2 linked regions of the Cricetulus griseus genome follow. The protein of the gene in region 1 interacts with the protein of each later gene in a pairwise test. Links are inferred from orthologs where the notes say so. Each region holds a gene or a part of one and is shown on either strand. Other genes may lie near its edges. The genes, in order: Epn2 and Wbp2.

Region 1 (3,813 bases):
AGATAAAGCTTATGCACCCAAGGGCTACCAGAGCCACCTTTCTCTCTTGAGTTCAGGGTCCTCAGGGCTACCCACCCCAAGAACAGAGAATTAATACTGTGCCTTGGATCACTTCCTGGCAGAGGCCAGGAGGCCAGCTGGATCAGAAACCAGCTTCTACAAGGCCCCAACATCACTTCCTCTCTCTGAAACCTCTTCAGAATACAGAACAAAGACCCAACGTGATCCATCACATACAATCAGAACATAGATCAGCCCTGTGTAGTGCAGACTCAGCCATGCAAATCCCGAAGACTTTTTCCATATGTGAGGAGGTCTTGCTGATGCTAACCTATGGAGTGTAAAACAGAAACATCCAACTCTGAATAATGAACAATAATGGTAAGCACTGAACCATTCCAGAGACCTGCAACTCAGTCAGCAGAAAGACACTTAGTGTAAGATTCTGAAGCAGATGATCAAGCCTAAGCCTGTTCCTAGCTACCAGGTATTTGGCTCCCTGCAGGTTTGAGCACCAGGACAATTGCTTTGCTGACAGACATTCTTCAAAGAGAAAAAAAAATCTGGTGAGACTGGCCTTAGAGTCCACTTTCTCCCAAGAACCTAAGAAGCATGGGCACAACCTTGCCTAGACCCACAGAGCAGCCTGAGTACCAAAAGCCCCCCTGTGACTTACTCAATTCAGATCAAAGCTATCACGTGGATTATCAGAAGCTGAGATCTGAGGACAGAATGGAACCTTGTGACAGCAACTATTTTCTCAGCCCCAGCACTTGCCACTTAGTGCTTGAGAAAAGGTGGGGTACTTTGATTACTCACAGCCATGGTAGGAGGCCGGTGAGCCCCCGGCCTTGCCATACTCCTGCTCCGAGTAGCTGGTAGAAAGGTTGGGCTGGCTGGAGCCACGGCCAAAGGTGATCTGGTTGCTGCCCACGCCAGTAGCCACCTGAGCCATGCGCTCTTTGGTTTTGAGAGCCTGGACCCTCTCAGCCTTCAGCCGCTCATCATCCTTGAGAAGGGCAACTAGCTGCTTTGATTTCTCTCGAACATTGATACCCTGGTCTTTGCCATCGCGGTCAATGTACTGGAAGTCCTTCAGAGTCTGAATGGCAAAGATGTTCTCACGGCACTGCTGGGCCACACGCTCAGAACCCGTTTTGATAAGGTAGTCCAGCAGTGTCAATGCCTTGTACACGTGCCGCCAGTTCTTGCCATGGTCATTAAGCCGCTTCCAAACCATGCTCATGATCTCTGAGAAGGCCACTACATTGTAGGTCAGGTCAGCAATCTCGGTCATCAGAGAACTGGACGGGCCCCACGGGTCATTGGAGGTGGCTTCCCGAACTTTGATTTCGGCCTCTGAGTAATTGTTCACAATGTTTTTCATCTGCCGTCTGATAGATGAAGTCGTCATTTTTATTGTTTGTTAGACATGTAAAGCCCTTCAAGAGAAACTTTCCTGTCCCCTAAGCCTGCACTCTAGAAAGTTTCAGTGCAGGTAATGCAGATGGGACAAAAAGATGCTCAACAGTCATTTCCTCCTGCAAAGCCTCAAGTCCCAGAAGCTGGAAGCCATGTCCTGGAAAGAAAAAGAAGACGTGTTGCTTTGGTAAGAGCACTGGTGAGGAGGGAAAGCCCAATATAAGCTGTGTGAGAGAACACACCCCAGTTCCATGGATGCAATACAGCCATCCTGCATTTAAAACTAAGGTCAGATCGCAAATGTCACTTGCTGAAGAATAAACCATAAAACAAGTTTAAACCTTAAGCAAACATCATGACCAATGTTTCATCTCCTAAGGCTTTCCCAGGGGTGGGTAGCTTGCAGACTACATGGTCACTAAAACCAAAAGCCAAATGTAGGAAGAGCAGGGCTGAAGGAGACATCCTGATAAATGTATTTTAACCTTTGGTGCTGGGTACTGAACTCTGGGCCACATAAACCTCACCACTGAGATGTATTCCTGTCCAGTCCTGAGAGTTTTACATGTGGGGGGCAAGAAAGTTTCATTTCAGGAATTAAATGAACATTAAAGTGCCTGTCCATGCCTTTAAAATTGGGTTTTGGCTCACAAGACCCTAACTGCCTGAAAAATTCTCCTTAAGGGCCATTTCTCTGTGACCCTCCCTGAATGTGGATCAGTGAAGTCCTGACTGCTCCTCTAGAGCAAGGCTAACAACCTATACCACCACCTCCACTTCCCATTGTTCTACCTACCCCAGCTTTCATGTGACTAGGATTAAAGCCTAACCCCTCTTTCTCTCACAGAGAAGCAGAGAGAGACCCAGAGCTATAGTCACAGGCTCCAAGTGCACCCATCTCCTTCCTCCAGGTGAGAAAGAGCTGGAGCAAGATCCACATCTCCAACATGGGGCTCTGGTCCTACAGTATGGTAACCAACATCTATCCCATCCACAGTGAATACCCAGCAACTAGCACTGTACCCAACATGGAATAAACACCTGAATGAATGAATGATACTACACTTAGAAACAGTATTCCCATCCTCAAAGCCACAATTCAGCAGGAGATAATTTCTCCATTTGTGAAATAAAGAAACGGAAACCCAGAAGATTCTCAGGACAACTGAAAACTGAAGAGAAAGCTAGGTCTCTAGCAAGCCCTGCTATACTCACTCAGTCCCTGTGGCCTTTGTCTATCCTGTGACAGTACAAATGGTTCTTCCATTACAGATGTAAAACATGAGCTATGGAGTCTTATAGTTGGCTGGCTACTGTTAACAGTCTGAGACCCACCTCCCTATATATCCTCATGCAGCCCAGAACCTGGCATCTGCAGTGGACCTTCCTCTCCCTGGATTGCTGAGGTTTCTGTCAGAGAAGCACCAGACAGCCCTACCTTCCTTCTCCAAGAAATTCAAACAGGCAATGGGTGCATCAAAAATAAGCAAACAAAACGGAAACATACAATGGTCAATCATCATATGCACCCACACGGGGCAAGGAGGAGACGGGACATTAAGCTTCAGGTGCCTTCTCTGCTCACTCATATATGCTGAGGAGTCTGCATGTGCTCTTTCTAACGGGTGGCATGTTCTACATCTCTACCCATCTGGTCAGCTTTCCTGAATCCCCCAAACCTGTCAGAAGACAGAGATAAAATCTCTGTGACTATAAGATCAGAGTGACTATACATCTAATTTAATTAAGTTTTTCATTCACAATGTGATATTCATTGCAGGAGAGGGGATAGGCCTCACACAAAATGAAAAAAAGAGACCTTTGATTTTCAGTGGGCATTTATTTCCCAGCTTAACCAGATGTGTCAAAGTCAGTAATCCTGTTCAGATCCACCAAATGCCCAGGGCTCTGGGATATGTCACTTGATTTGGGACTGGGCAAATATGCCTGGCCTTCACTTAAAGGACCCAGGTTTAATTCCCAGGACCCATATGACAACCCAGGAAACCTAAAGGTCTCTTCTAGTCTCTTCAGGTGTGTGCCTGAGAGAGAGAGAGAGAGAGAGAGAGAGAGAGAGAGAGAGAGAGAGAGAGAGAGAGAGAGAGAGAGAGAGAGAGTGTGTGTGTGTGTGTGTGTGTGTGTGTGTGTGTGTGTGTGTGTACAAATGTAGGCAAAACAGAGGCAATATTGGCATATACCTTTAATCCCAACACTTGGGATGCAAAGGCAGGCAGATTTCTGATACAGGCCAGACTGGTCTACAGAGTGAGTTCTAGGTCAGCCAAAACTACATAGTGAGCCCCTATCTCAAAAACAGTAAATAGCTGGAGAGATGGTTCAGCAGTTAAGAGCACTAGCTGCTCTTCCAGAGGTCCCAAGTTCAATTCCCAG
Region 2 (4,393 bases), about 53 Mb from region 1:
ATCTGCAGCTCCAAGAGATGTGACACCCTCCTGTGTCCTCCTGCGGCTCCTGTACACACTGTAGTACACATGCATGCATGCAGACAACCCGTTACATACATAAAGTGGAAATAAACATTTTTAAAATGTGTTTTCATTAGTTTTTAATGATGTGTATGTGTGCACATCTATGATATATATATATATATGATGCATGAGAAGGCCAGAGACGTCAGCGCCTGACCTCAGTGCTGGAAAGCAATCTCGGGACCCCTCCTTCTCAGCTGCTGAGCCATCTATTCACACACACGCACACGCACACACACGCACACGCACACACGCTACACCACCACCACTTTTTTTTTTTAAAGACAGCGTCTTACAATAGCTGAGGCTGGACTGGAAATCCTTATGCAACCCAAGCTGACCTCCAATTTGCCGCAGCTTCCTGCCTCAGCCTCCCAAATGCTGGGATGTGAACCGCTATGCTGTCTGCTTGGGACCAAACCCTGATCCCCCAGATCTAGGGATAGTGAGGACGTCCCGCAGTCCTTCCCGGCCCGCGAAAGAGCCACCTCAGATGGAGTTCAGATTCTCTGCAACGTAGTGGACAGACACCCACGCCTGGGTCTTCAAAGTCCTGCTGTTTAGACTAGCGAGCTAGACTGAGAGGGCGCAGCGCCATCGTGAGGCCAGAGGGTGCAGGGGGCGGCGCAGGGAGCCGCGCAGGGGGCGGTGCAGGGGGGCGGTTCAGGGGACCGGTGCAGGGGTGGCCGGTGCAGGGGGCGGGGAGGACGGTGGGGAGGACGGTGGGGAGCCGATCACTCTCCCCAGAAGTTCACACTGTCCGACTCGCGGGGTCACGGTTGGAGGTGATTAAAGCGTATTTTGCTGGGACTGTTCCAGTCCACCTTAGACAGGGCTACGTCTCGCACAGCCAAGAGTATGGGCGAGGACGAAGGCGGCTCATTAAGTGGTTTAAAGGTGGCACACACCAAGTCACCACGTTTAAGTTACATCTCTCCAATTGAGTTTGCTTAACACGAGGAGGCCGGTTTGGGAGACGCGTACAGATGTTTAAGACTTTGTAAATAACCTAGCAAGCCTGTCCTAGAGTTAAAAAAAAGACTACAAGTCCCAGAATTCAACCACCACTCAACGCAAGGAGAGGTCGCGGTTGAGGGAACCATCGCCTGCTGGGAATTGTAGTCCGCGGCTTGTTTGTGATGCAGGTGCGACTTGGGGGAGGGGGAGCGGGAGTAAACTCTCGCCACGTGACATCGGAGGTCAGGTGGTTGGTCAGCCTGCGCGCAGGAGCGATGATTGGCTGGCTGTAATACGAACGACGCCACTGGAGGCGGGCCGAAGACCGGCGCAGGCGCAGAGCGCTGCGAGTCTCGGGACCCCAGTGGGAGGAGAGACTATGGCGCTCAACAAGAATCACTCGGAGGGTGGCGGAGTGATCGTCAACAACACTGAGAGGTGAGGACGCGGCGGAAGGATCCTGGAGGCTGGGGGCGGAGGCGGGCGCCGTGTGGTGGGCGGTGGGGTGCGGTGAGGAGGGGCGGTGGTGGAGCGCTGGGGGAGGGGGCGGTAACGGCCGGGGGCGGGGCTGGAGGGCGTGGGTGGGGCGTGGGTGAGGGGGGGGAGCCGGGGGAGCCGGGGGAGCCGGGGGAGCCGGGGAGCCGGGGAGCCGGGGGGAGCCGGGGGGGGGGGGGAGCCGGGGCGGCGGGGACGTGGGTCCTGAGTGAGGCCAGCGAGCCCCCTCCCAAATGGAGTCCGAGAATAATTGCTCTGTGTTGGGCGTTTACTACGTGGTTGCTACGCGGCAGGAGGCGCGGCGTGGGTCGGTTCTGCCTCAGATAACAGCTAATCTTGTGCGGCAGAAACTATCCCACACGGTTTACCGGTAGGGCAAGCGAGGCTCACACAGGGCGAATAACCTGGCTTAGGGCTGTGAGTGACCGATGGGACCTGAGGCAAGAGTCTTGACCGCAAAGCCAACAGTTGCTTAACCACTCCTGTCCAGTCTCCTCGTATATTCCAGAACTTCTCAGGTTCCAAGAGAAAGGCTGAGGCCCTAGAGGTGGAACTGAGGGGCTGTCATCTGCTCACCCAGTGCCTGGCGCCCGCGGGCCTTGTAAAGGCGTCTCCCTTGTGTCGCTCGCTCGCTCGCTCGCTCGCTCGCTCCCCTGGTTCTCTTGGATTCCTGAGGGCTTAAGTCGCTCGCCAGAGTAGAAGTCTCTCAACTGCAAGATTCTTTTTTCTCTACCCCTCACTGCACCATCCACTCTTCCTCTCCAACTTTTGGGCCCTCTCTGTCGCTTCTCTTTTCCTTTCTTGCTCGGACATTGGAAATCAGACTCTCTTGACCTGAGCTATGCAAGCTTGAATGTCTTCTTGAAGGCCAAGGGAGGCGTGGTCGAAGTCAAAGCCATCTTGGGACCTGTCACTTGAGAATGTTTGATGAGTCAGAAGAGAAGGTGTGGGGTGACACAGACTGGAAATGCTGATTTTGTCTCCATAGTTCTTGGCAGGTTCTGGCCAGCCCAGCAAGTTTTTTTTTTTTTTTTTTTTTTTTTTTTTTTGGTTTTTCGAGACAGGGTTTCTCTGTGGCTTTGGAGCCTGTCCTGAAACTAGCTCTTGTAGAACCAGGCTGGTCTCGAACTCACAGAGATCCGCCTGCCTCTGCCTCCCCAGTGCTGGGATTAAAGGTGTGCGCCACCAACGCCCAGCTGATCACTTCTTTATTATTATTATTTTTTAATTCTTAGTTTTTCGAGACAGTTTCTCTGTGTAGCTTTGGAGCCTGTCCTGGAACTCACTTTGTAGACCAGGCTGGTCTGGAACTCACATAGTTCCTCCTGCCTGCCTCTGCCTCCCCAGTGCTGGGATTAAAGGCGTGCACCACCACCGTCCAGCTGGTGATCACTTCTTTAACCTGAGCTGGCCTCTTTTATTGTGTTCTAAGTCCTCTATTACCTTTGCACCAAGAAAGGGTATTTGGGATGAGGAGGAGACATAAGAATTTGGACCCTTATGTCATGTAATCTGAGAAACCTTATTCTCTGGTGTACTTAGTCCAGTACCTTGGCTGGTCAAGTACTTTGATGCCATTCAGTGGTGTCCCCACCACTACCCCTCTCTCTGGTTTTCAGTCTATGGTTTCCATCCAGATTGGCCTTGAACCTGAGGCAATCCGACCTCTGGCTTTTGAGAGCAGGGAAATCAGAGATGTACCACCACAACCAGAGCTGTTTAGCTTCATCGTTTGAGAGTGGTTTTCCTTCACTTACTCTGGCTTTTATGTAGAAGATTTCTGCCCTCCTGGGCTCAGCACCTGGCTCATTGCTACCAAATAGGGTCCTGGGAAGAACTTCAGCCTCACTTCTGAAACATGTGTCAGTAATAATTGAAATGTAAGTGCAGTGCTCAAACTTATGATATTTAAACTAGTGAACAAGCTGGGCATTGGTGACCACACCTTTAATCCCAGCACTCAGGAGGCAGAGGCAGGCGGATCTCTGTGAGTTTGAGGCCAGCCTGGTCTCCAGAGCGAGTGCCAGGATAGGCTCCAAAGCTACACAGAGAAACCCTGTCTCGAAAAACCAAAAAAAAAAAAAAAAAAACAAAAACAACCCCCCCCAAAACTAGTGAACATTAACCTTTAATTCACAAACCACTGTTAGAGATAAAGGCTGTGAACTCTTCCCAGAAAACCGAGCACACAAGTACACACACACACACACACACACACACACACGCACGCACGCACGCACGCACACATACAGACACACACATGCATATACACACATCTCAAGGGCTTTATCCACAGACATTTTCTACAGCTCCAGCTAAAGAAGCTTGGATTAAAAAAAAAAAAACACACACACATAGAAACAACAACAACAACAACAAAAATATGATCTCCCAGAGGGCCCATTTAGTTCCCCGTATCAATGTCAGGCGGCTCACAACCACCTGTGTCTCCAGCTTCAGAGGATCCAATGAAACTATAGAATCATGTCTTTGACTCTATACTTTTATTATTTACTTATTTATTAGCTGTGTGTGTGTTGCTGGGGAAGAACTCAGAACTGTGACCATGCTAGGCAAATACTACTGTGCTGCATCCCCAAGTCCCATTAGACTCATGTTTATATATTAGGGTTTTGTTTGTTTTTGTTGTTTGTTTATTGTTGTTGTTTTGGTATTTTTGAGACAGGCTTTCTCAGTGTAGCTCTGGCTGTCCTGGAACTCACTCTGTAGACCAGGCTATCTTCACAGAGATCCACCTGCCTCTGCCTCTGGGGTGCTGGGATTAAAGTCGAGCACCACCACTGTCCGGCTATATTAGTTTTGTTTTGTTTTGTTTTATTTTTTAGGAAAAAAAAAAACAGTAAAATTGTTGTGG

The links.
Region 2: the proteins of Epn2 (region 1) and Wbp2 interact in binary tests that used the Homo sapiens proteins (3 or more experiments, as listed by UniProt). The link is inferred for Cricetulus griseus from reciprocal best matches to the Homo sapiens genes EPN2 and WBP2.

The regions. Positions count from the first base shown.
Region 1 is NC_048600.1:75,553,827-75,557,639, forward strand, and holds part of Epn2 (epsin-2), read right to left. Parts: intron 1,580-3,813; 5' UTR 1,415-1,579; coding exon 820-1,414; intron 1-819. UniProt on the Homo sapiens protein: Plays a role in the formation of clathrin-coated invaginations and endocytosis.
Region 2 is NC_048600.1:128,669,982-128,674,374, reverse strand, and holds the start of Wbp2 (WW domain-binding protein 2), read left to right. Parts: upstream 1-1,303; 5' UTR 1,304-1,402; coding exon 1,403-1,461; intron 1,462-4,393. UniProt on the Homo sapiens protein: Acts as a transcriptional coactivator of estrogen and progesterone receptors (ESR1 and PGR) upon hormone activation. In presence of estrogen, binds to ESR1-responsive promoters. Synergizes with YAP1 to enhance PGR activity.